Linked DNA regions of Rattus norvegicus. The protein of the gene in region 4 interacts with the protein of the main gene of each other region in a pairwise test. Links are inferred from orthologs where the notes say so. Each region holds a gene or a part of one and is shown on either strand. Other genes may lie near its edges. The genes, in order: Dmd, Tubb5, Tnks, Disc1, Rbsn, Traf3ip1 and Stx18.

What was found.
Region 1: the proteins of Disc1 (region 4) and Dmd interact in a two-hybrid assay, tested with the Homo sapiens proteins (2 studies listed by BioGRID and IntAct). The link is inferred for Rattus norvegicus from reciprocal best matches to the Homo sapiens genes DISC1 and DMD.
Region 2: the proteins of Disc1 (region 4) and Tubb5 interact in a two-hybrid assay, tested with the Homo sapiens proteins (2 studies listed by BioGRID and IntAct). The link is inferred for Rattus norvegicus from reciprocal best matches to the Homo sapiens genes DISC1 and TUBB.
Region 3: the proteins of Disc1 (region 4) and Tnks interact in binary tests that used the Homo sapiens proteins (3 or more experiments, as listed by UniProt). The link is inferred for Rattus norvegicus from reciprocal best matches to the Homo sapiens genes DISC1 and TNKS.
Region 5: the proteins of Disc1 (region 4) and Rbsn interact in a two-hybrid assay, tested with the Homo sapiens proteins (2 studies listed by BioGRID and IntAct). The link is inferred for Rattus norvegicus from reciprocal best matches to the Homo sapiens genes DISC1 and RBSN.
Region 6: the proteins of Disc1 (region 4) and Traf3ip1 interact in binary tests that used the Homo sapiens proteins (3 or more experiments, as listed by UniProt). The link is inferred for Rattus norvegicus from reciprocal best matches to the Homo sapiens genes DISC1 and TRAF3IP1.
Region 7: the proteins of Disc1 (region 4) and Stx18 interact in a two-hybrid assay, tested with the Homo sapiens proteins (2 studies listed by BioGRID and IntAct). The link is inferred for Rattus norvegicus from reciprocal best matches to the Homo sapiens genes DISC1 and STX18.

What each region holds. Positions count from the first base shown.
Region 1 is NC_086039.1:52,112,086-52,115,585, forward strand, and holds part of Dmd (dystrophin), read left to right. Parts: intron 1-2,054; coding exon 2,055-2,234; intron 2,235-2,875; coding exon 2,876-3,004; intron 3,005-3,500. UniProt on the Homo sapiens protein: Anchors the extracellular matrix to the cytoskeleton via F-actin. Ligand for dystroglycan.
Region 2 is NC_086038.1:2,916,236-2,920,376, reverse strand, and holds the start of Tubb5 (tubulin beta-5 chain), read right to left. Parts: upstream 2,801-4,141; 5' UTR 2,605-2,800; coding exon 2,548-2,604; intron 1,263-2,547; coding exon 1,154-1,262; intron 815-1,153; coding exon 704-814; intron 573-703; coding exon 1-572. UniProt on the Homo sapiens protein: Tubulin is the major constituent of microtubules, a cylinder consisting of laterally associated linear protofilaments composed of alpha- and beta-tubulin heterodimers.
Region 3 is NC_086034.1:63,926,924-63,931,128, reverse strand, and holds the start of Tnks (poly [ADP-ribose] polymerase tankyrase-1), read right to left. Parts: upstream 2,801-4,205; 5' UTR 2,776-2,800; coding exon 2,133-2,775; intron 1-2,132.
Region 4 is NC_086037.1:69,946,476-69,949,975, forward strand, and holds part of Disc1 (disrupted in schizophrenia 1 homolog), read left to right. Parts: intron 1-379; coding exon 380-1,350; intron 1,351-3,369; coding exon 3,370-3,439; intron 3,440-3,500. UniProt on the Homo sapiens protein: Involved in the regulation of multiple aspects of embryonic and adult neurogenesis. Required for neural progenitor proliferation in the ventrical/subventrical zone during embryonic brain development and in the adult dentate gyrus of the hippocampus.
Region 5 is NC_086022.1:126,256,203-126,259,702, forward strand, and holds part of Rbsn (rabenosyn-5), read right to left. Parts: intron 600-3,500; coding exon 499-599; intron 1-498. UniProt on the Homo sapiens protein: Rab4/Rab5 effector protein acting in early endocytic membrane fusion and membrane trafficking of recycling endosomes. Required for endosome fusion either homotypically or with clathrin coated vesicles.
Region 6 is NC_086027.1:99,524,176-99,527,675, reverse strand, and holds part of Traf3ip1 (TRAF3-interacting protein 1), read right to left. Parts: intron 1,822-3,500; coding exon 1,660-1,821; intron 573-1,659; coding exon 435-572; intron 339-434; coding exon 1-338.
Region 7 is NC_086032.1:76,970,927-76,975,226, reverse strand, and holds the start of Stx18 (syntaxin-18), read left to right. Parts: upstream 1-1,500; 5' UTR 1,501-1,514; coding exon 1,515-1,682; intron 1,683-4,300. UniProt on the Homo sapiens protein: Syntaxin that may be involved in targeting and fusion of Golgi-derived retrograde transport vesicles with the ER.

The DNA.
Region 1 (3,500 bases), on a different chromosome or scaffold from region 4:
CGAATTTCATAAAGTAATTGTTTTTGATAGCTGAGTAATATTTCATTGTGTAGATGTACCACATTTTGTGTATCCATTCCTCTGTTGAAGGGCATCTGGGTTCTTTCCATTTTCTGGCTATTATAAATAAGGCTGCTATGAACATAGTAGAACATGTGGCACTCCTGTCTCAATTGCCTCTCTTTCTAGTCTGTGCTTGTGAGAGTAGGGCATAACCTATTTCTGATTCATCCTGTCACAGATTTCTCTGATTTGTTACTTTGTCTGTCCCTCAATTAAATATCACTTTTAAAGATGGCTGCATCTCTTTACAAATTAAACTTCACTTCATTGTTTGAAATTAAAGGCGTGTACTAAGGTTATGTCTCTATTCCATCTAGATCATAATGTAACAGAGGCTATGTCATTCCATCCAGAAAATATAGCCTTAGAAAGTTTTTAGTTGTTTTTCTTTGCCAGAGCACCCTGGTTGCTGGATTAAAATTTCTCTACAATTTACCTTACATGTGTAACTCACCATTAAATAACCTTTAGTTTGCCTTAAATTAACTTTTACTATTACCTGTGAAGAGTTGATCTCAATGAATTTTCCCAATTTCGATGATTATAATGCAAATTTTCATAAGAAAAGATTCATCTGTTTTACCCATTCCTTCATGATTAACAAATCAGAGTAACTTTAAAATATATTTGTGACTAGGAAATAGTACATTTATTTACTGAAAACCATCAAGTTTATTGGTTAGTATTTTTGAACCTAACTGATCATATATTTTACCCATAAAATGTTAACATTTGCTGCAATTATGATTTCAGTAGAATTCTTCTCATGGTAAATGTTTTCCTATACCACAATATCACTTAATGAAACATATGCAGCCCCAATTTTGCTATCCTTATGTCTACAAATGTAGATATAACATAGTGAATATAATGAATATAATCTTATGTTTTCCTCACTTTAAAATTAAAAAGGAGCTTATAAATTACAGCTTGAGGGAGAAAACTAAGTGTCTTGAGTATAAAGGCAATACTGTTTTATTTTTGTACCTATAACAATGATTACCATCTATATTTATAGAGAATCTATTTTACCCTAGAATTTACAGGATGTTTAGAGGGTTTAAATTTAATTTTTATCTATTTATTTCTAAATAAGCTGTGTCTACCCAAACTTGGTACTTTTCTTATTCCAAAAACGAGTTAATAGTGTTATCTGTGGCAATTTTACAATAGTATCTGGTGCCATAGAGGAATGCAATAAACAGTCATGAATAATATCTGAACAAATTGATTTTAAGCAATCCTTGTCTCATTCTTGTACCACAAATTAAAACCTTCATTATAAATAATCATTTTGCTCATAGTAAATAAATTCATTTGGCATGAGTTACTACAGGATCTGTATTTTAAAATAAAATGATAATAAAAGAACAAATATAGAATCCATAGATGAAAGTGTTTATTTGTTGATAACATCTAGGAGTAAGAAATCTACTGTCTGATAGAGATATACTCTTATCTTCTATCCATGAATACTTCTGTGACTGTACTTGTACAAGTTTTATTTGAATCTACTTGAAACTTGCCAAGATGTGCGGTTCTTCATCTATGATTTTGTCTTTTTTGACTTTGCTTGCAGTTATTGGGACATAGACTTCATTTTAAAATGACTTTTCTTCTTCGTGTCAGTTTTTTTGTACATTTATTTTATACTTTAGAAATCATTATGTGAGGAGTTCATTCAGTTTAACGAGGTGTCAAAAATATTCATATCTCCAAAAGGCTAAATATGTTGCTATAGAAAAATAACCGAGGCGTAGTGGTTTAATTTTCAAATTACAGGTATTGCTTTATAGATGAGTCTTAAATTGTCTGCCTTTAACAAATACATGATCAAATTAATAAACATGTAATATTAATTGAAAAATCTCTAGGTTTAGTTATTAAACATATATAATTATGATTAAAATATCTATCACATTTGTATAACAAAATTTCCCAATTCTACATAAAGTGCATTACTTGAATCTTAATGCTATTTTTTCCTACAGGCTACTCAGAAAGAGATTGAGAAACAGAAGGCTCACTTGAAGAGTGTCACGGAACTAGGAGATTCCTTGAAAACAGTATTGGGCAAGAAAGAAACTTTGGTGGAAGATAAACTGACGCTTCTGAATAGTAACTGGATAGCTGTCACCTCCAGAGTAGAAGAATGGCTAAATCTTTTGTTGGTAAGAGTAGAGGCAGGAAGCTTTTTGTCTTAGCTGAGGTTTTATTGTTGTGAAGAGACACCATGACTATAGCAACTCTTTTAAAGGAAAACATTTAATTATGGCTGACTTAAAGTTTTAGTGACTTAGTTCATTATTATCATGGTGGAAAACATGGGAATATACAGCCAGACAGAGTGCTGAGAGTTCTACTTCATGATATCCAGGCAGTAGAATGGGAGATTGTGTTCCATATTGGGCAAAGCCTGGGCAAATGAGACCTCAAAGCCCATCCCCCAATGAGATTTTCTACATGGCCTAACCTACTCTAGTAAAGCCATGTCTTACAATAGTGGGGGCTGTGGGGACCATTTTCTTTTAAAACACAACATTTCTTTTTCACTCTTCCTTCTCAGCAAGCTAACAAAACAAAAACAAGAAAATAATAAATTAGGAATGATACTTGTGTTTGAAAATTCAACTGCTCTCTATATATGCTGATATAGAGTCTCATAATTCCAAGATATTTTTCAATACTTAGTATTACTTTCTATTTCTGATGTTACTTAAAGGTAATTTAAATATTTCATTGTTTTCTTTGTAGACAGTGGAAAAATGCTTTAGGAATTTTGTCTAACCAGATATATTTCCATACAATTCAGGAATACCAGAAACACATGGAATCCTTTGATCAGAATGTAGAGCATATCACCAAGTGGATCATTCACACAGATGAACTTTTAGATGAATCTGAAAAACGGAAACCACAACAAAAGGAAGATATTCTTAAGGTAGCAAATAAAATATGAGAAGTAGTTTTCAAACTGTACCTGTTATGACAATTATGTTTCAACTGCAAAATACCAAAGACTTTCTTATAAAGCCTAATATCTTTATTTTTTTCTACCTGTGTTGCTTCCATCTTTTGATCATCCATCATTATTTTCTATCTTACGACATTCATTCCTTTCTATTCCTCCTCATTTTAGAAATCAATGTCATTGTAGAGATCTATAATTTGGGTATCATGTCTGACCTCTCTCTATATGTGCTAAAACCATAAAGGGTTGCACAAATTACTTTTCTGCCATATTGCAAGTCATTCTTACTTTAATAGCAATATTATTTTCTGCACCATCAAAATAGTTTCTCGTTGATTCATACAGCCTTTATTAAATACTCATTTTTTCTATCTACTAGTGTCAAAGATCAAACTTAGTATGCATTTAGTTTGCCTGCTCTAAAAACACTAAATTAAGGGTTGTACAAACTCCCAGGTGTTTTAAT
Region 2 (4,141 bases), on a different chromosome or scaffold from region 4:
GGCCCGGTACTGCTGGCTTCCACGGCTGGTGAGAGGGGCAAAGCCAGGCATAAAGAAGTGGAGACGCGGGAAGGGCACCATGTTGACAGCCAGCTTCCGAAGGTCGGCGTTCAGCTGGCCCGGGAAACGGAGGCAGGTGGTGACACCGCTCATGGTGGCAGAGACGAGATGGTTCAGGTCTCCGTAGGTTGGCGTGGTGAGCTTAAGGGTACGGAAGCAGATGTCGTAGAGGGCCTCGTTGTCAATGCAGTAGGTCTCATCTGTGTTCTCTACCAACTGGTGGACGGACAGGGTGGCGTTGTAGGGCTCAACCACGGTGTCAGACACTTTGGGTGAGGGCACCACGCTAAAGGTGTTCATGATGCGGTCGGGGTATTCTTCTCGAATCTTGCTGATGAGCAGGGTGCCCATGCCAGAGCCCGTGCCTCCACCCAGCGAATGGGTCAGCTGAAAGCCTTGCAGGCAGTCACAGCTCTCCGCCTCCTTCCGCACCACATCCAAGACAGAGTCAACCAGCTCAGCTCCCTCTGTGTAGTGACCCTTAGCCCAGTTGTTGCCTGCCCCAGACTGACCTGGAATGTAATAAGGGGGAAAAATTTAAAAAGCCTAATCACATATGAGAGAAACACAATACTTCTTAATCTTTCAACGTTTGAAATAATCCCACTGGGGGACACATGGGAATCCGTTCCACATAACTCACCAAAAACAAAGTTGTCCGGTCTGAAGATCTGGCCAAAAGGACCTGAGCGAACGGAGTCCATAGTCCCGGGTTCTAGATCCACTAAGATAGCTCGAGGGACATACTTGCCACCTACAAGTATTCAAGATGTTCGATCAGCGATGAAATAGCTCAAATTTGGGGTGGAGAAATCAGCCACATATCACTAAAGTTGTCATTCCAGGCACTACCACCTGGTGGCAGTAGAGCCAACCTTCAGCCCCATAAGGTGTGTGTGTAAGGGGGGAAAAATGGGAGTCTCACAGAGGGGTAACTGATACCCAAGTGTGGGAAAACAGGGTGGTGATGCTGCCTTTAAACCCAACACTTGGAAGGTAGACCGATCTATGTGAGTTCCAGGGCGGCCAGTGATGAATGGGGTCCCTGTCTCAATAGGGGGGCACGCAGAAGAATCGGGATTTCTTCCCTCACCTGTAGCTTCATTGTAGTACACAGAGATTCGGTCCAGCTGCAAGTCGCTGTCTCCGTGGTAGGTGCCGGTGGGGTCGATGCCGTGTTCATCGCTTATCACCTCCCAGAACTGCATAAGGAAGAGAGCAGTGAGGCCTCAATGGCTCAAGTCCTAAGGGATGCCGCCCGCCCCTCATTTCGATTCCAGACATGCTCAAACGAAGCTGTGGTGCAGACACTGCAATTCCGTTATCTGCTTGCGGAACCCTCTACCGAGGAGCCTACGCCCCGGAAGGTTACAACCTTAGTGGATAGGACGGATGACTGGCGATTCAAAGGGCCGGGGACTGTAAGCATCTACATGGGCGGATTGGCGCCCACCTTCTTGGCTCAGCACCTAGGTTTGGTTCCTGAAGCCAGGCACCGCCCTTCCTGGCCAGCACAAAAGAGGGTTGGGGGAGAAAGGTGCGGCCACTGCAGTCGCCCACCCCTTACGCGCTCCACGTGACTGCGGTGGCGGGCCGCTCCTCCAGCAAACCACAAAGGCGGGAGCAGTGCGGGCGGGGCCTAGCTCGAGGGGCGGGGCCAGTGCGCCCCCGCGGGCCCGGGCCGCATTGTCCCTGCGCGCCAGGGGCTCCAGCCCCGCCCCCAAGAGGGTCCCACCCTTCGGCTGCAATGTAGCGGCCGCACTTCCTCCCTCCCCCTCCCCCGCTACAGGGCAATTGCCCGCAAACGGGGGGAAAATTTTTAAAAACCCCATGGCCTCCGATCTTTATTCCCTTCCTTCTTTCTCTCTCCTTAATCTCCCCGACAGTCTCTCACATACTTGAAAAGCTCACACTTTCTGTCCGCTCACACCCTAAGACCTCTTTTAAGGGCAATGAAAAGTAAAAGTAGTGCCCTACATAGAATCATAATCTAAAAAAAGCCTTGGGAAGGCGGGTTCTATGGAGTATCCAAGCCTTTGTTGAGGTAATGCGCACCGGGGCATCTCTGCAGCTGCCCGCCAAACCTCGCCCCTTCCCCCTCCATTCTGTTCCAGTAGGGCCCTCCAGGCGGGGTGGGGGTGGCGCAAGGGGAAAACCTCGCCTCGGCTTTGTCTCGGATCGTTTCCGCATCCCTCCTGTCCTCGGACCGTTAGAAAACCCCTTTTAATACCAGTTCTTTAGAGTCCCCCAGCCTCTCCTTTTCCCCGAACTCAAAAGCGTCTCTTAATAGCTTTCCGAAGATGTGCCAAGAAAAACATTTTCTCAATATTAGAACGCTAGCTACAAATATGGGTTATATTTATACGTACAAAACTTTGAGGGGCCAAATCTGACGAGCGGAGAATGCAAACGCCCCGTTAGCATTGCTCACGATTAACACAGATATCTCATCCTTACATATTTCATCTAAAATTATAAAATTCTTACCTTAGCACCGATCTGGTTGCCACACTGTCCGGCCTGGATGTGCACGATTTCCCTCATGGCTACGGTTTACTGTAATAATCTTTTTTTGATGGTCCCAATGTAGGTACCGAGCAAAAGAAGATAATTAAGGATTTTTGGTTTTTTTCTTCTGGGCTGGTCTCAGACTGATAGGATGGAACGTAGCCCCGGAGGCTGCTGCAGAGAGATGCGAGCACGACCGCAGGAAGGTTCTAAGAGGCAGAAGAGGCCGGCGAGCGCAGGAGGGAAGGCGCGCAGGGCGGGGCGCGCGTTCGCGCGGCCGGGGGCGGGAGATGGGCGGGCGCCTCGGGTTGCAGACAAAGCCTACCCAACCAGTCGCTGATTAGACCAGCGGATCACGTGCCAGACGGCCATTGGTCTCTGAGCCAGTGGCGAGCGCAGTCCTTTTTGGGAGTTGTAGTTCTCTATTGTCCACGCTGCAAAAAGAAGTTAAAGATGGGTGGGTACTGTGGGAGGATTAGGGGGTATCGCGTGTGTGTGTGTGTGTGTGTGTGTGTGTGTGTGTGTGTGTGTGTGTGTGTGTGTGTGTGTGTGTGTGTGTGTGTGTGTGTGATTTTATTTTATTTTTCATGAAAAATGACCTCTCGATTCCTAGCCTCTATTCCTGAGAGAGGATTTTGTACGAAAAGAGGTTTGGGGAAATATAGTAATTAGATGAGATCTGAGGTGCCTGAGTTGGAAGGTGGGTTGGGCACGCCCTGCCAGCTGCCCACCGCAGAAGGTCTGGGAAGGCCAGACTGCACAGCTCAGCGGAAAATCCTGAGAACTGTGTGCTCCTTCCCTGATACACAGTGTCTAGTTCTTTGTGATCCCAAGACAGGAATGAAAGAATTGCCCTTCTGTTTCCATGGGAGGTGTCTCAGGGGTTTTCAAAAGAGAAACAAAATTGCAAGGATCATGGAGAATCTGCATGGAGCTGATGTCCCAAAAGAATGGAGGTGTGTGTAAAATCTCTGGGAGATTCGGGCCTTTAGACACTGAAGACATCCTGGTCATCTTGTCAGTATAGACTGGAGTGGACAGACTAAGAGAATGCTAGTCTTTATATAGTGCCTCCATCTCAGACACTTGCAAGGGCTTTTGTTTGTTTCTTTTTGTTTTGTTTTGTTTTGTTGGTTTTTTTGTTGTGTTTTGTTTTCCAGTTAGTTGATTTTATTCATTAGGTGAGTCTGTGGCAATGTCCTGGAACTGAGAGGGAAGATGGGAATTGAATGGGCCCAAGTCAGAGCTCGTAAGCTTTTCTTTCCAGGGTTTTGAAAAATACTAAGTATCCTCAAACCTTTAAGGAGATACAAAATGATTCATTAGAATAAGAGCAGGAGTGGTTCACACGGTTAATCCCAGAATCCTGACTAGAAGGCAAGAGAAGTTCAAGGTCAGCTTGGGCTACCTAGAGACTACCTGGACAACCTGAGGCACAGCTTTAGGTTTAATCTCTAAGTGAACAAATAGAAAGGAAAAATTAGATTGTGCCTGCCCTACCTCCCAAACAATAGAGAGGTGGAGGCAGAAAGATACTTGCACTTTGGAGGCTAACCTGATCGACAAAACAAGA
Region 3 (4,205 bases), on a different chromosome or scaffold from region 4:
CTTGATTTGGAAAGTAAACGGTCTCAGATGATTTATTAAATCAGACTCAGACCTTTCATTTAGCCTAAAGAAAAGGAAATTGTGTAGTGGCGCATGGCTGAAATCCCAGGGCTTGGGAGGCTGAGGCAGAACCTTGAGCCTGGCCAGACTTCTCTCAAGAAACAGAGAAAATGAGAACTAGGAAAGAAAGAAAAGCCAGACAAGAAAAAGAAATCCTATTTCATATAAAACAAGCAAGAGTCTTGACTTTTCATCTACGTAGCTGAAAGCCTACTTATAAGCGAATTCATCACACTCACTAGTTCTGCCTAATATGGAGCACAGACCCAGTAATCTGACCATTCCCAATGGGTTTCACACCACTGATCACTGTCCATTAATGGATCACAGACGCAATTTGCTACAAGTGAAGTGGAAAAGTATACAAACACACAAGCAAGGAAGGGTGCAGTTTCCATTTCCTCAAAGTTCTGATTGCACTGCAACATTACAAACTCTAAGCAATGGCTGAAATTAAAAAAAAAACAAAAACAAAAACAAATAAAAATCACTAGCTTTCCTTCTCCATGAGCTCCAGACTACTACCTTCTTCCCCAAACACCAAGTAACTTAGGAGCTGTGCCCTGCATACAAACCCACCTATAGATTATGGCTTAGGCTCTAAATCAAACTGCTGACTCAACGTCAATGTCTCACTACTTTACTTGAGAACTAGACTCACGTGTGCCTCGCTTTATCATCTGTAAAACGAGAATCGCAGTTCTCCTAAGTTCTAAGCTTACGTTTACAGAACTGAAGGAGTAACACCACTGAAATGCACAGCAAGAGGAGCTGGAGGTGTATGTAGCCCAGGGGTAAAGTGCTTTCCCAGCAAAAACAGAGTTCTGGTGCTCAGACAGCATCTCAAGACAGAAAGGGCGCTGCAGAGATGCTCTGAAGTTAATTAAACAGAGCTTACTCTTCCAGAGTAGCTGAGCACCCAAGCTGGGTGACCCACAACTACCTGTAACTCCAGCTCCAGGGAATTGCCCTCTTGTACCTACACAGACACACACAGACACAGACACACACACACACACACACACTCAAGAAAACTAACATTTAAAAGAGGAATTTTTGATACTTTTTTAAAAAGTGTGTCTTTTAATTTTGTATCTTTCTATCCTATTTGAATTTATAATATATGTGAAGTACAAACTTCAAAGGTACTTGTTTTAAAGTACATAACCTAATTAACCTTATTTAAAAAAAAAATCAACCAGAAGTATCAAGGCAGTGAGAGTATGGCCCTTCTGTTTTTGTTCTACATTTCTGTATTTTATAAAAAATATTCTGTGTTTCTAAAAGAAAACAACTACTTACTCAGAAGGGAGAGAGGCAAGAAAAGTAAAGTTCAGCATTTAGAAATCTGTGCCTATGTGCTGAGTTTCCCCGCCAGAAGACTTCTTCCTAAATCCTCACTCAAACAACCTATCATCTTTGTCTCTAAGAAAATGAGCTAGCTGAGACAAGGTAAATACACACTGGACCTCAAAGCTGATCTCTCTGTCCCTTATCATAGGCACACACTACCCTTATCACTATTGTCTCCGACTGGCCGGGGGTAGTCTCTCCAGATTGTCCACTTCTTTAGAAAAGGTGGAATTTGACAAACCCCATTGTCTTTCGTTGTGTTACTTAAGAATACGAGAGATTCTTGGACACTTGTTGAGTTACCCTACACTTCTTTCGCCCCGGACTGTCCGTACTCAAAGGACAAAACCGTGTCGTAAAAAACAAAACGAACTAGCACACGAACGACAAAGCTATTCCTAAAGCTACTCAAATCCAACTTGTCTCAGACACAACTCCGAACTGAAAAGGTTTTAAGTATGCCCACATCCACAGATGAGCGCTACACGGAGTTTGCATAAGTTGAAGTACCACTGTTGCAAACGCCAAGGAGTGAATTCACACCTCGCCCCCCTCCAACCCCCCCCACCACACACACGGACACTAAACTTCAGTTCTCAGGGTGAGGTGGAAAAGAACCACCAACAAGTCCCTACTTGTCCCACTACAACCTGTAACTTTTTTTTCCTAGTCCGACCACCCTCCCTCCGCTCCAAAACCCGTAAAACACGGTCTCAGACCTGCTGCGAAGTGCAGGGGAGAAGACTTTCGGCCGGCCATGTCCTTTGCATTCACGTTCGCTGCGTCCACCAACCTCTTCACCCGGGACACGTCCCCATTTCGACAAGCCTCCAGCAGCTCCCGCAGGGCCCCACTCACGGCTGGGACCCCCGGGCCAAGGCCCGCCGCCCCGGGTCCCAAAGTTGCTGTGGAGCCAACTCCGGCGGCTTCGGGACTCTCCGCTATGCTCGAGCCAGGGGAGGACGGAGAGGAAGACGAAGAAGAAGTAGGCGAAGAAGTGGACGACGCGGAGTTGTTACCGCCGCCGCCGGCTGGGCTGGGAGCGACCCCGACGGCGGCGGAAGCTGCCGGGGCCGCGGCCGTAGCAGCCACCGTGCAGACCGCGCCGTCCACCGGGTCCGGAGATCGCGGCCTGTCGGGCGGGTCCCGGCTGCCATCCCCCTCCGGCAGCGCCAGGCCGTGCCGCGGGGAGGCGAAGGGCGCCAGGCCGCCGGCCGTGGGAGAGGCCGGGGTAGGTCCCGGGGCCAAGCCCGGGCTGAGCGGCGGGGGAGGTGGCGGTGGCGGAGCCGAAGCCCCTGGGGCGGGCTGGAGCTGTTGCTGATGATGGTGGTGATGATGCTGAGAGCGACGCGACGCCGCCATCTTCCCACTCCCCCGTACTGTCACTGCGGCAACGGCGCCACCGCCCGCCCTCACTTCCGGATTCTGGACCAATCAGAAGTCAACATACCCGGAAATGATTCTTGCCGAAGTGGGTGGAGTCGGAGAGAAGAAGGGAAGTATTGGAAGCTTAGAGAACAACCAGCCTGGGGGCGTGGCTTAGTAGTTGAGAGACTGGCTTTGTGACGCCCTGGCGGGCTGGCAAGGCAGATTTGAAAGTTTTGGCGAGCCACTACCTGTCCGAGAAACTTCTGTCTTCCTTCCAAAGCGGGATTGCTTTGGACTGCTTCAGTCTTTTCCCAGGTGTCCGTCAGTCTGCGGTGTCTTACTTCAGAAGAAGCTATTAGAATGTAACTTGGTGCAAACATTTAGCAAAATGTCCTCGCCCGAAAATGGAATTAATAGTACCCACCTCACAAAATTGTCTGCAGAGATGAAGTGAGCTAATGCATACAAAACGCTCTGAAGAATACATAACTAAAATTAGCACATTGGGAATATTTTTAAATGAAGTGTTGGATCTGTACACCTTACTATCTCCTTTGGTCTCATTCAGAGACAGGACTGGAGGGAAGGATAACCTTATTCTCTAAGAGGGTATTTAACTCTTGCCACAAATGCCAAGGAGCGGAGACAGGATGCCTTTTTGCGCTGCTCTATCCAGTGCGCCTGTAATCTTAGAGGACGGGATTAACAGTTCAGAGACCTGCTTTACCTGTTATCTCCCAGCCAGCAAAGTGGAACAAAGAAGTCAGTCATCCCAGACTTTGGTCCTGTCTCTCAGGTCAGGTGGTCTTAATACTGGAGAAAGGAATACACACACACACACACACACACACACACACACACACACACACACGCTATCAAATAGCTCGGTGTTGGGGTCTAAGAGTCGGATTATTGAATGCACACCCTAATACTGGTCAGACCAGGGACATAGCTCAGAATCATCTGAACTACAACATCTTTTTATGTCAGCTTATAAAAGAAAAAACCACAATGAGCTCATACGCAGGTGCAGGAAGTTCTGCCTGGTGATCAGCTCTAACTTAAGCCATTTTTTTTGACATAACAGTTTATATTGACCTTTAATTTGATGAGCCCTACGTAAAGCTTTGAGGAATGTCTTAAGATTAACAAACCTCAGGACATAACAGAACATAACAGGGTCTGAAAAAAATAGCTCTGAGTGAAGCTATTTTTCTGTGTCAAAGGCTGGTAGGCATGTTACAGCAACAATATGAAATAGCTGGCAGGCATGGAACAAAATGTCTACAGCTATGCTGGGGAGAAGGGGCGGGTATTGTCGGACCACAGAGGCTTGCTTTGCTTGTTCAGAGTTAAATCTAACTTGGGGTGCCTTGAGAGGCATGCGAGTCTAAGTGGCATTGGGAGTATGCATACCTAGCTAG
Region 4 (3,500 bases):
CACCAAGGCTGTGTCCCCAGGACCTGCACTGACATGCTGTCAGACGTACAGTGGGGCCTGCTGCTCTGCCAGCAGAGGGCTGGTCTGACTGGGCATCCGCAGAGCAGCACTGACTTTCTTTTGATTTTTAAAGACAGGGTATTGTGTAGCTCAGGTTAGCTTGAACTCCCTAAGCTGGTGAGGATGACCTGGGTCTTCTGATCTTTCTGCCTTCATGTTCCAAGGACTCGTGTTATGGGAGTGTCCCACCTTGCCTGGCTTGGGATCATGAGTTTTCGTGCTGTGCCTTTGATAGGTGTACTCACAGATGTCCAGCATGTCCTCCGTGGGCAGCTCCTACAGATTCAATAACATACACTGTTTTCTCTTCTCTTCTCAGGCAATGGGCATGGCTCGCCGCCTGCAGTAGCCCCTCAGAGGCGGCGGCTGACACGGAGACCAGGCTACATGAGAAGCACAGCCAGTCCTGGGATCGGGTTCCTGTCTCCAGCAGTGGGCATGCCACGTCCGATCTCAGCGGGGCTGACAGGCCAGGAGTTCTACCCCTCACAGTCCAAGGCTAGACAGTGCAGCCTTGACCTCAGAAGCCACTGCCAAGACTCATTGGTGGGCAACCCTTTTCTCAAGGGCTCCCTTGGCCCTGCTGTGACCTCTGTGGGCCACCTGCACCCAGCCCAGGGCTCTATGAGAGAAAGGATGGTGCACTCTGGGGTTCATTCCGGGAATGACAGAAGACAATCCGAGAGGCTGACTGGGGACAGTGGTTGTCGGCAAGAATTTTTATCTTCAGACAGCTCTAAGTCTCTGGCTTCTAGCCTTGATGTAGCTTGGAGCAAGGGATCGAGGGGCCTGAAGACTGTGAGGCCTCTGGTATCACCGGCGTCGAATGGCCCCGTTGACATCCCATCCCTTCCTGGGTTCCAAGACACCTTTACTTCCAACTTCAGCTTCATCCGACTCTCCCTCGGTGCTGCTGGAGAACGCGGAGAAGCAGAAGGTTGCCTGCCATCCAGAGAGGCCGAACCCCTGCATCAGAGCCCCCAAGAGATGGCAGCTGAAGGATCCGGCTCAGACAGGCCCCACGGGGAGCCTCGGCATCTCTGGACCTTCAGTCTTCACGCTGCTCCGGGCTTGGTGGACTTGGCTCAGGGGACGAGGAGCAACAGGCAACCAGAATGTGGCATGGTCTCCTCCTCCGATGCTGGCTTCTCTTCCCAGGATGCATCCCCCGCTGGAGGGCGGAGCGACCAGGACGGAGGCTGGGCGGATGCCCATGGATGGCACGCTCTGCTCAGGGAATGGGAGCCTATGCTGCAGGACTACCTACTGAGCAACCGCAGGCAGCTGGAGGTGTGTGTCCTTCAGAAATCTGTCACCCCCAGCTCAGTGTTGGGTGGAAGCGGGGAATGGGCAGCTGATGGAGTGCTGGTCCCGGAAGCTGCAGTGGATTCTGGGACGGCTGACTGAAAAGATGTGGTAGCACATCTGTAGCCTCCACATCTGAACGCGCATGCTCTGTTCTCCGCTTTCAGGCTGTGTAGCTTAGGTGCGGGCATGCCCTCTCTGATGGGGCCCATGCTTCGCCACAACCTTTGACCTGCAGTGTGGTTTGTTCAGGTTAGGACACTGGGGACTGGCAAGATGGCTCGATGGGTAAAGGCACTTGCTGCCAAGCCTGACTACCTGAGTTTGATTCTCCAGAACCCAGAGGGTGGAAGCGGGGAGCCGACTTCTGTAAACAGATATCTCCCCTCCCTTCACAGTAAACAAATGTAATAAAGTAAGACACTGGGAGAGTAAGGGGGGAACAGCCAGCTCGGGTTTGGAAAGAGTGAGACGTTAGGAGGGGAGAAGTCTGATTGCACAGGCCCCATCCCCTCCTACTTTGCTTCATTGTCCCATGGGCTATGTGGTCCTCCTACTAGGAGACTGTATGTGTGTGCACATATGTGTATGTGTATGTGGTGTGTGTGTGTGTGTGTGTGTGTGTGTGTGTGTGTGTGGTGTGTCTGTGGTGTATGGTATATGTGTGTGTGTGTGTGGTGTGTGTATGTGGTGTATGGTATATGTGTGTGTGTGTGTGTGGTGTGTGGTGTATGGTGTATGCGATATGTATGTGTATATGTATGTGTGTGGTATGATCGGGTGGGTATGAATATGTGGTGAGTGTGTGGTTTGTGAGTGTATATGTGGCTTGTGTGTGAGTGTGTGTGTTGTGTGTGTTTTTTGGGGGGCTGAGGACAACCTTGGGTGTCGTCTTCACTTCTGCCATGGTGCTGGAGTGCACTGTTAGGCCAGTGGGTCTCAGGGACTCTCCTGTCCCCTCCTCCTGTGAGGTGAGATTACAGGCATGAGTCACTATGCCGTTTTCTGTGTGAGCTCTAGTGTCAAGTTCAGGTCCTTACACTTGCCAAGCAGGCGCTTTACTGACCATTCATCTCCTCAGCATCTGGTTTCAGTGTTTAGAAGCAAGACCTGGTCACAGCCCGTTAGGAAGTTGTTCTGGCAAGGAAGGTGTGGCTACCAGTGGCTCCCCACTCCCTTGTTCTCATCTTCCCCACTCCTGTGCTGGAATAGAACTAGGACTGTGTGCATGCTAGGCACACATCTCTGAGCTACATGTCCAGCCCAAGACAGCAGCTTCCCTGAGATGGAGGCTTCAAGCGGGGCCACGGTCCTTCCTGAGCTGGCCACTCTGGAGACTGTGGTCTGTGCCTGGCTCCTCTTGGCTCTTACTTCCCACGTTCACTCACCCTCACTGTGATGTTCTGAGGGTTAGAGCAGAGGCCATTCGGCCTGCAGTCTGTGTTCCCTCTCCCCACAAAGTGCTTCATGCTGTAATGGCAACACTGTGGAATCTGTAATGTTCTAAGTCTTTCTGGGGAGTTCATGCTTAAGTTGTGTTTCTTTGTGCAAATGACTTTTCTTTTCTTCCTTAAACACGCATTTGGCATTGGCACACATTGCTTGCTTGCTTGTGCGTGCGTGTGTGTGTGTGTGTGTGTGTGTGTGTGTTTGAAAAATAGTTTAAATAGAACTTCACTTTTAAATTAGTTTCCCTATATAAAAACAGTATTGCTTCTCAGGAACTTAACTTTTTTTTAATTTTATTTTTTTTATTTGTCTGTGTGTATGTGTGCATTGTGGTTCTTGTGTAGAGGTCAGAGAACACCTTGTGGGGGTTTTGTGGGTTCTGGGGACCAAGCCCAAGCTCTCGGACTTGTCTGCATGAGCCTTCACCCTCGAGCCATCCCATCCGGACAGCCCACCTTTGAAAATAGTTCTTAGACGCTCGTAGGTTTCACAAAATGAACTTGCTTGAATTAGTTTGTAATTTCTGTTTTATGTTTCCCCTTCACACCAACACAGGTCACTTCCTTGATTTTAAAGCTTCAGAAACTTCAAGAAAAAGCGGTCGAGGATGGCGATTACGACATGGGTGAGTTCGGAAGCTCTTCATAGACAGTTTTCATCTTTCTCCCTGACCTCTGTCCGGACCT
Region 5 (3,500 bases), on a different chromosome or scaffold from region 4:
TACATAAAGAGCATTCCTGGTCTGGGACTTAGTTGGTGGCAGAGTGCTTGCTGGGGCACCACAAAAGTGAAAAAGAGGACTATACCTACCAATGCCCCACAATCCAGATGCACATCAAGTGTATCTAGGGTCAGAGTGTAAGCCAATCGTGCAAACATACTCTAGCACTACAGGATAAGAAAGGCTACACTAGATGACCCCACAACACACACTAGCCCTAGCCACAACTCAATACACAGAGCTGTTATCAGATGACATTACACACTGTGCCCACTGAGTGACTCCCCGGGACAACTCCAGAAGATGTACCGCAGCAAGTGGGAGTGATAGGCATAAAAGGGGAGCTGGGCACTTAGTAAGTCTTTCAGCGTGATCAATTCACTTCAGGGAGACCAGCTAGGCCAGCTGTCTTCAATGTCCTCTGCAGTTCTCTCAGAGTCAGATACTCATCACTTACATAACACATATGTACTTACAAAATAAAACTACAAAACTTACCTTTTCCAACCTGATTATTAATTTATTGACTTCAATAACATAGTGGTCAATCCTTGCAGCACGATGTTTTTTAAAATCAGAAAGATGGCTTCTCATAGCACCTAAAGAGGAAGAGAAGTGGTAAGTTAACGATTCTGATAGAGCCTCTCTAGATCCTCAATGAATTTTAAAAGCATGTAAAAAACAAAACAAAACAGAAACAGAAAAAGCAGGATTTTAGAACCCTACCAAAATTTAATAACTAGAAAGAAGATGAAAGGAATTTCATTACGATGTTAACCCTAGCTCTTGGAGACCCAAAGTACAACATGAGAAACCTCAAAGCATAGCAGGTAAGCTCTTATTAGAGTTAGCCTGAGCTCAAATTTTAAATATGCTACACACTGTGTCACTTTAGATAAGTTGCTTGACTAGTTTTGTGACTTAACACAATGTAGCTTTTTATCAAAATAAAAACAATCCCTTTTCAAAAGCAGAGGGTAGGGGATGGGTGGTAGCGGTTCACATCTTTAGTCCCAGGGAGAGGGAGGCAGAGGCAGGCAGATCTGAGTTTGATGGCAGCCTGATCTACATAATGAATTCCAGAACAGCCAGGACTACACAGAAAAATTTTGAGAAACCAAAATAATTAATAATAGTGATAATAATAACAACAATAAGCCCTTCTCAAAATGGGGTGGGGGACCAGTAAGTGGTAATGTATGCCCTTAGTTCAGTTAAATGGATACTTTCCTCAGTTTAGCATCTAAGACCTAGCAGAAATGTTCCCAATACAAATGGAACCAAGTAGTATCTGACCTCAGTGTATCTGAAGCATCTGGGGATACAAAGCCAGATAGATATGGAATGGCTAAATGAAGGTAATTAAAACATACATTACCTCACTCATTTTTTTGTAGCAAGAACACTTCACTCCTACTCACCTGGCAACTTAAGTACAATATCTCTTCACTGTGGTTACCGTGCTGTACCATAGCTATACTGTACTTGTTTGAAGCCTCTTTGGACCATCTCCACACTGTACTCTTACTCATCCATGTCTGTCTTTCCTAATCATGCACTGGAATCTAAATTTTAGTCTAGAAATCCTAGGGATAATTATAAATAACTTCTAAAATTTCCAATTGATCATCCACCATTTGCACTTCTTTCCATTGTTTAATTGGGCAGGTTAATCAGAAAACCACACTAGCAATTAGGACTGTGGCAATTAGAAAATAAGCCATCACAAAGTATTAAAATTCACTTGTCAGAAATTTCTCCTTTATGCTTCTAATCAGCTTTCACATGTGATTTATAATTGCTGATATACATCTGCAGTAGAAGTAGACCTCTGAATCCTGGCCAGAGTAACTCCATTTTGCAGTAAGCCACTGTGCATCTGACTGCTGCAGAATAGGCCATCCTTCCTTGGCTAGACACTGCTTGCTGAGACCAGCAGAATCCCAATTGGAACAAGGACAGGTACACATAAGCATGGTACTTTATCAGTTCTGTCTGCGCCTTATGTCGCCTGAACCTACAGCCGCCACCACTTCACCCCTAGACAGTGCTCTGAATCCAGCTCTGCAGAAACTTGCTATAGACTAAAGACAGATAAAACAGAGCTGGGAACTGGAAAGAGGGTCCAGGAGTTGAGAACACACAGTGCTTTTGCAGGACCCCAGTTCAGCTCCCAGCACCTGTAACTTCTGATGCCTTCTTCTGGACCCCACAGGAAACGGCATACATATGTGCACACACTCGCACACACAATTTAAACACTAAATAATCTTTAAACATTAAAAGTAAAACAGTATCTTGGTGGACAGGGGGTTGGGGCTTTTTGGTGATGCAGCTTCAAGTCACCCATGTTCCTGTAAATAACCCCCAATAAACTCATTTATCTCACCAAACTGGACTGGAGGGAACTTTCTTTGCTCTGTCTGCACCCTCCTTATTTGAAGTGAACAGATATTTCTTTTATATGTCCCAGAAAATCATGTAACAATAGTATTTATAAAGCTATTTTCTACAGTGATAAAAATATTTTTGCATACTCACAGAGAAGCCACTGACCACAGAGGGATACTGCTCAACTGAAGTGTGTATAGATTTTGTTTGATTCATTAATGAAATTTCAATAGCTACATATGGCTACTGAACTGGATAGAACAGTTCTAAGATTAAATACCACCTTCCCCAGTGGTATTAATAAAGATGCAATCAGTGACCCTGGTCAGTGTGTGTGTGTGTGTGTGTGTGTGTGTGTGTGTGTGTGTGTGTGTGTGTGTGTCTATGTGTCTGTGTGTGTGCATGCCATGTGTGTGCTCAGTTAGAGTAAGCTATCTCACAAGGGTTCTGAATACAAAAGTAAAGAACTCTGAAAGAAGCATTACTTATCCATTCTGTGGATAGAAAGTACTTTATTGGGCTAGGTATGTACTCCAGTATCAGAGTACATACTCAGCATGGATGAGGCACACAGATGCTCAATAAGTATTGAATGAACTAATAAATGAATTAATAAATTTTCTTACCAGGCTGCTGACTGAGATTCAATCCCAGCAAACAAAATTAGTGATTTTTACCATTCCACAGCTAAGTAATAAGTAAGATGAGACACTTTAGTTCAGCACATGACGTATTTTGGTTGACAGCTTTACTGACAGGTAATCTCCTAAACATATAATTTTAAGGCCAAGTAATCCTGCCAGGCATGATGGTGCATGGTTTTAACCCCAGCATTTGAAGAGGCATCGTCAGGCAGATCTCTGAGTTCAAGTCTGGTCTACAAAGAGAGTTCTTAGACAATCAGGACTACATAATAAGTTCCAGTCTCAACTTAAAAAAAAAAAAGTGCCATTCTAAGTATATTAATTCAATGGTTTGAGTTTTGTGGGGGGATGGGGGGAAAGTTGTTTAGTATGTTCACAAAATTGAATAACCGAAAGAAATGTCAGACCATTTTTATCAGTTTGAAAGTAGAGAAGAAGCTAGGCATAGTGGTATGCACTTTAATC
Region 6 (3,500 bases), on a different chromosome or scaffold from region 4:
CGTTCCCGGTCTTTTCCCTTGTCACGGTCTCGGTCCTTCTGCCTCTCTTTTTCTTTCCCACCGTCACTCCTCCTGTCCCTATCTCTGTCCCTTTCAGTCTCTCTGTCCCGATCTTTGTTGTTTCTGTCCCTGTCCTGCTTGGCCCGTGCTCTGGCTTTCTCTCGCTCTCCGTCTCTGTTTCTGTCCCTGTCGGGTTCTCTGTGTCGGTCTCTGTCAGCCTCCTTTGCCTTCTCCTTGTCTCTCTCCTTCTCCCGAGGCTTGCTGTCTTCCTTTAGTTCCTCCTTCTGTTTGTGCTCTGCACTTGAGCTTCTCTCCTTCACCTCAGAGCTTCGTTTCTCCTGAAGAAAAGCATATGGACATGACAGTCATTTTTAATATTTGACTTTAGTTTACAGACTTGCTGTGTCAAAGACATGCGGCGTCCTACAGCTCACCTCTTTCTGTGTTCTGGACTCTTCCTCCTTCACACTCTTGTTGTCGGGCTCTTGTGCTTTCGACGTCCTCAGGACTCGACCTCTCGAGTCCCCCTTCTCCCCAGCTAAGACTCTCTTCACAGCCTCATCACTGGAGAGCTGGTTGGCCAGGCAAGGAAGATGATGTTAGTGAGTACAGGCACTGAGAATGGAGCACTAAAGGACAGCTCATTAAATAGATTTCTTCCTACCATGAAGGACATTTGGAGATAAACTAGTAAGCAAAAATGTTAGTGACAAAGCACAATGCTTGAGATCCATTACTAAGATCCTGTCTCCTCTCTATCCAAATGTCAGTGTGGACATGTGTGTGGCTCTAGTAACCCACATTGCACTACATAGGTCATCAAACAGAATCCCAGGTCTAATGAGCACACATCACTTAGGACAGCTATTACAAAAGAAATGCTAAAATTGCAGGTATAATAGGGAGCAGTGGAGCCTGGGAACCACTGGGGATGCAGAGTGTGCCGTGCTCCAGAAAACAGTGTGGTGCTCCTCCCAATATCACACACACAATAATCAGCATGACCACAGCACTCCTGGGTTTACCCCAAAAGAACTAAAAGCTGGTCTAAAGGGACAGTGGCACTCGGGCTCTGAGTGGCATGATTTATGACAGCCAGAATGTGGAAGCAACACAGATGTCCCTTAACAGACGAACAGAAAAACAATGTGGTCTACAGACACAGCAAAGTATTGCTAACCAAGTGGGGAGAAAATTGACCCATGGCACACTGTGAATGAACTCTGAGGACACCATGTTAGTGACATACTGCCTCATACATGGACTGTCAGTCAGACTTACAGCAGCAGAGAGGGAAAGGTTGTTACTAGGGTGGGAAGAGGGGGAGGTAATGAGTACAGAGAGTGAGTCTTGCAAATGAAGGGTAGATCACAGTGATGGCCACACATCACTAACGTATTCAAACTACAAAACTTGTGCCAACTGAGATAACTGTTACCTGGATCTCCACAACAGAAAACTACCTCAAGCCCCAGCAAGAGCAGATTCTGGCTCCGGCATCCCTCACAGCCACCCAGGGGACAGAGCAGCTCTCAGCACTGGCCTTCCTGCTCACACCCCTGCTTCACAGGCTTCACATGCAGGAACTAGGGAAGCATTCCACACCAGCTCTGCCAGTCCAGGACAAGCTGCCTACCAGGAAGGCAGGCACCCACCTACCTTGCTGAGGCAGCACTTGCCAATCAACTGAAGCAGCTCATTGGTTCTTTCAGGTTCGTGCCCGGCCACAATTCTAGCTGGTTTTGCTGCCAAGGGTTCTCCTGACACCATCATGACCACATCTATGGCCTTCTGTAAGAAGCTAATCTTTGCATCTTTATCCTGAAATATTTCCATGGAAAAGACAAACATTAAAGTAAATACTTGCAGCTGGATAAATGGCTCTGACTGTAATTAACATTGTACAGTGCTCGTACAGAGGACGTGAGTTTCAGTTCCCAACACCACATCGGGTGGCTCATAAGCACCTGTACCTCCAGCTCTAGAGGCCCTGACGTCCTATTCTGGACTCCACAAACCGCACTCACACAGTAACATACACACGGACACACACACACACAGTTTAGTTTTGCTTTGTTCTTAAAAAGGAAGCCAAGAACTCAGGAGGGAGACAGTGTAGGGAACACCAGAAGAGCTGGAGGGAGGCAGTGGTGAACAGATATGATCAAATACACTGCATAAATGTGTGAGATTTTCAAAAAACAAGATGTTTTAAAATAAAATTTTGATTTTAAATACTTTGAGGAGTTCATATATTCAATATAGTCAATAGGCTCAGTATATTCAATGTTCACCCAGAATGGTGCCTTTTTATATGAAAAACTATTTCTAGATGTATGACAAATTCAGAATTTCTGACTTTTCATAACTGTCATAGTTTGCATATGCTTGACCCAGGGAGTGGCACTATTAGAAGGTGTGGCCTTGTTGAGGGAAGTGTGTCACTGTGGGGGTGGGCTTGGAGACCCTCCTCCTAGTTGTCTAAGAATGCCAATCTGGGGGCTGGGGATTTAGCTCAGTGGTAGAGCGCTTACCTAGGAAGCGCAAGGCCCTGGGTTCGGTCCCCAGCTCCGAAAAAAAGAACCAAAAAAAAAAAAAAAAAAAAAAAAGAATGCCAATCTGTTTCTAGTTTCCTTCAGATGAAGATGTAGAACTCTCAGCTCCTCCTGCACCATGCCTGCCTGGATGCTGCCATGTTCCCACTTTGATGATAATGGACTGAACCTCTGAACCTGTAAGCCAGACCCAATTAAATGTTGTCCTTTATAAGACTTGCCTTGGTCATGGTGTCTGTTCACAGCAGTAAAACCCTAACTAAGACAATAACCTTTATGAACTTTCATTGTTTACAACCAAATCTACTCATCCAATCTTTCAATGGAACAAATGGGATAGCATTAACTATAAACAATCTGGCTCAGGCTTTTGCTTCTGAGACATGGTCTGTGTGGCCTAGGCTGGCTTCAAACTCATGACTCTCATGGCTCCCGAGAGCTAGTGCATCACCATTCCTGGCCACTGATCCTGATGTACTTTTGCTTTTTGAGTAGGGTCTTGCAGACTTGACTGGCTAGGCACTCACTGAACTTGCAGCAGTACCCCTGCCTTAGTCATTGAGTGCTGGGCTTATAGCTATGCATCTCCACATCTGGTTGTAATATTGCTTTTTTTCACATTTCTTTATGTTCTGTATGTATATGTGTATAGATGGATATGCATGCATATACATGTGGCTGTAAAGGTGGGATTATTGCACACACTCACACGCGCACACATACATGTGCCTGTTCATGTGAAGGTCAGAGATTCACCTCAGGACACCATCTATTCAGTGTTTTGAGACAACGTCTCTGGGCCCTAAAGCTCACCCATTTCCCTAGGCTACCTGGTCAACGAGTACCTCTCCAGCTCTGGGATCACCAGTATACACGTCAGCCAGCTTTTCACATGGGTGCTGGGGGATACCACCCAGGTCTGCACGTCTGCATGGCAAGCACTTT
Region 7 (4,300 bases), on a different chromosome or scaffold from region 4:
AAGTCTGGCTTAATGGAAAACAGCTGCCCTGCATTTAGCCTATTGTTAGATCAGTGTCTCTGGGAAACCCAGCCACACAGCTGATCAGAACACACAGATGTAAAGGCCAATATGAGCCTGGAATTATTACAAAACTCGCTTTTCATCTCCATGACAGCTAAAAACCCAATTTTAGCACACATCATAGTGTGCTTCCTTTTATAAGGAAAACAAAATCCAGAAAAGTTGATACTGAAATAAGACTAAACCATGGGGGTCACACTCCTGGACAAGAAAACTCCAGGCAACTATGGCTGCTGAGAGAGGAAGAGTTAGCCTATCCCTCTAATTGGTTGTCCAATACGAAATGATAATCCCTGAAATCATACACACATAAACAGTTTCAGCAGATTGTGCTTGCATAGCCATGGATACTTACATATATATGCAACAATTACAATTAAGGAAGAAGAGGCTATAAATTTGAGACTGAGTTGGGAGACATGGAAGAAATCAGAGGGAGAGGATTGGAGGCTGGAGAGAGAAAAGGGAAGGAGAGAAAGTGGCATAATTGTATTTTTAATTAAAGGTGTACACAAAATAAAATAAACCATGAACAAAGCGTCCAGAAAAATTTTATTAGCTGACTTTAGTCAAGTTAAGTAACTCTCTTCTTTTCAATTTCCTCCTTTCTCTATAATAACTATGACTCAAGAGAGCGCTTTTCAAAACTACTTATTTAGGAGGAACATAACACAGTTATCATCAAGCTCAGTATGCTTCACTTTTCTCTGGCTCTCATAACTTCCTGCTCTCCATATCCCCCCGCTCAGGGATCTCTGCTCTAAGCCTCTTCTACACCATAAGTAAAAAAGACTGAGGACAATAATATTATCATCAACTGCAGCATTTACGGGCTGCGTAGTAAGAGTTAAACAACATGAGAATGCGCATTCTGTTTAATTTTCTGTGCATTCTAGGAAGGTGCTAGCTTCACTTTACCGAACTGGCTGAAGGTTTAAGAAGAGAGCCCTCTGGACTCTACCTCTATACACTTACCCTTTCCTAGTACAAGCACCCAGACGGTCATAGTTCATTGCTTCTTAAGTGGATCCCTAGACGACATAGGTCAAAGGTGTTAACACTCCCCACCTGTCAACCAAACCTCACGCCTGTCTTCTAAAGAATCATACGTGAGCGATCTTTCTAGTTTCCTGATGCTTCCGTTCCTGAAGCCCAGTTTTAGAAACCCTGTGAAACTTCCAAGCGTCTGACCCCGCTGAAGTTTGCAGTGAGGAGAAAGAGGTGCTGATGCACTGCGGGTAGCTGTCTGGAACGGAGATTCCCTGCGCTGGGCCGAGGCCGGAACCTTTCTCTACTCGACGCAGTACACGGGCTGAGAGCGGAACCTTCCTTTTCTGCTCACAGTTCCCAGGCGGAAGCGAAATCGGAACGTCCCTCAGCGACCGAGCTCTTGCTGGGGTCGCTTGCTGCTGACGTGTGCCGACCGGCTTCGGGCCGCGGCGCGGGTCGCTATGGCGGTGGACATCACACTGCTCTTCAGGGCTAGCGTCAAGACAGTGAAGACGCGGAATAAGGCTCTTGGAGTGGCCGTGGGTGGTGGAGCCGATGGCAGCCGAGACGAGCTGTTCCGCAGAAGCCCTCGGCCCAAGGGAGACTTCTCCAGCCGGGCCCGTGAAGTGGTAAGCTGGTTGCTATGGGAACGACTGGTGGGAGTCAGGGGCGGATCTGCAACCGCGGACCCTGCACCCCTAACTGGGCCCTGCCTCGTTAGCTCTTGGTGAAGTGAGGGAGTCTCTAGCAAGACAGAAGAGTCGGTCTCACGAAGCCAACAGCTGGCTCGGGGTGGCGACAGGTTTATTCTCACGAAGAGGGACGCATATCTGGGCACTGAAGGAAGCAAGTTTTGAAGAGGCTCTTGGATGTCCTTGAACTCAGGCTAACTTTTAGAGGCAGTGAGTTCGCCGTGGCTGCTGATTTGAGTGCCTTGGAAGAGTTCCCACAGTCTTACGCTTCCTGTATTAAAACTCACCACTCTCTCCGCTTGCCCTTTCATGTGTGTGTTTGGACCTCCTCTTGTGCATAGGGTTTAATAAAAATCTACGCTCAGCAGAACTCTCCTTTGTCCTTGCCTCCAGGAATAGGTAGAACTCAGTACCTCCAGAAACTGGTTTAGGATATCACCAGTGTAGGGTAAAAGCTTTTTCCTTCAGAACTGCAACACTTAAGCAACACCTAGTGTTGTAACTGTCCTCTAAACTGCTTTCTGTTCTCTGGACACAACCGGCTTTTGTGTCCCCCAACATAGGAACCTTCTCCATAAGGGTAGGAACATGTTGACATTATTTCTATATGTGTGACTGAAAACATTGCTTAGTAAATATTCCTTGGATGGATGGATGGATGGATGGATGGATGGATAAACAAATGAATAGATATTGTTTCCACTAAACAGGGAAAAGGAGATTGTTTGCAAAAGGAGATTGTTTGCAAAAGGAGATTGTTTGCATTATATCCCTTTGTATCTTTGACACTAAGGGTAAATGTTATTTTTGTTGCACCAGGAGGCATATACAGTCTGTTCTTTTAAAGACACACACACACACACACACACACACACACACACACACACACACACAGAGTGGTCCAAAGCATTGAAAGGTACAAGTCAAGGGAACCTAAACTTTAAGTATAATTAGTTTTCCAGTAAGCTCACCTCTGCTTGGCACATAATCCATTGCTTGATACTTCTCTTTTTGAGACAGGGTCTTTCCATGTAGACCAGGCTAGCCTTGAACTCACAGAAAGGTGACTGTTTCTGTCTCCCAAGTGCTGAGATTAAAGGCATGGGCCCCATACCAGATGACACTTGAATATTGTTTTATATATATATATATATATGCACAAGTTAATGAATGACTGTTTAATACTCAAGGTATGGAAGGTATGGACCAGATAAATGATGCCCCTCCCTCCAACAATAAGCATCTACTTAGAACTGAACTTGTGACCATCATTGTTTTAGAGTAACAGGATTCTATTCTTGAGTTACAAAGTTTCAGTGCTAGAGAGATACAAATATAAACAAACCCCCTGCCTTGATTCCTGCGGGTATTCTGTAGGGCACAAGGGAAACAGTAGTTAGTTCCGCTTGGGAGAAAGGCTTCATGGGACAATGATATCAAATATCCATTCTAAAATAAGAGTAGTTGGTTTCATTACAGATAAGGTCAGGAAGGGCATCACAACTAAGTTAACAACAGCATACTGGCCATACTCCTGGATGCCCTCACACCCAGGAATACAGGGACAGTGCAATTAGGCTTGATGGGCTTTTAAAGAAAAAAGTCTGGGGGGGGGCATGAAGTTAGGGGAGGTAAAGAGGTGGGAGTGGATTTGAGAGGAGTTAGAGGGGAATGGTGGTAAATATCAGAACACATACGGAATTCCCAATGAATTAAGAAAATACTTTTTTTTTTTTTAAAAAAAGAAACCAACGTGCACAAAGGCATGAGATAGTACCAGCTTAACTTAAGTTGGGTTTGATTAACGTAAGAATGTGAGACACTCAGAAAAAAAGAGTGGTATGGTACCCAGAGGGAAATCTAGAAGGACCTTGTAGATCACTCTTCAGAATTTGAACTTTGCCTTCTAGACCAGTGGTTCTCAATTTTCCAAATACTGTGACCCTTTAATACAGGTCCTCATGTTGTAGTGACCATGCCCCCAACGATCATAAGATTATTTTCATTGAGACTGCATAGATATAATTTTGCTACTACTATGAATTATAATGTAAATATCTAATATTCAGGATATTTAAATGTGACCCCTGTGACAGGATCATTCAACCCCACAAAAGGGGTCACAACACACAGGCTAAGAACCACTGCTCTAGACAGTCCAATATTATGTAGACAGTAAAACCCTGAAGAAGACCCAGGAGACCACATTGTTGTCTTAACCATGTTAGCTATTAGCCAGATTCATGCTATTAAGCAAGGTTTATTTACCTATAAAATGGTTCATCTTTATCCAAAACAGACTTTAAACATCCATTGGGTCTATCATATATGTCATATATAAAATGTCTTATCATACCATGTATTATGTTGAAAGAGGCATGACTCAGGTTGAAGTAAGAGGACAGGAAAATAAGGTGTCATCATAGCTCTCTTCTGAGTCTGGCCAAACTGTTACCACAGTGTGTGGACGTCACAGTTTTGGTGTGTGGAGGCTCTTCCCTGGGTGGTTTATTAATGCTGCACAGATTTTCAGTCCTTAGGAATAGGGGATTTCG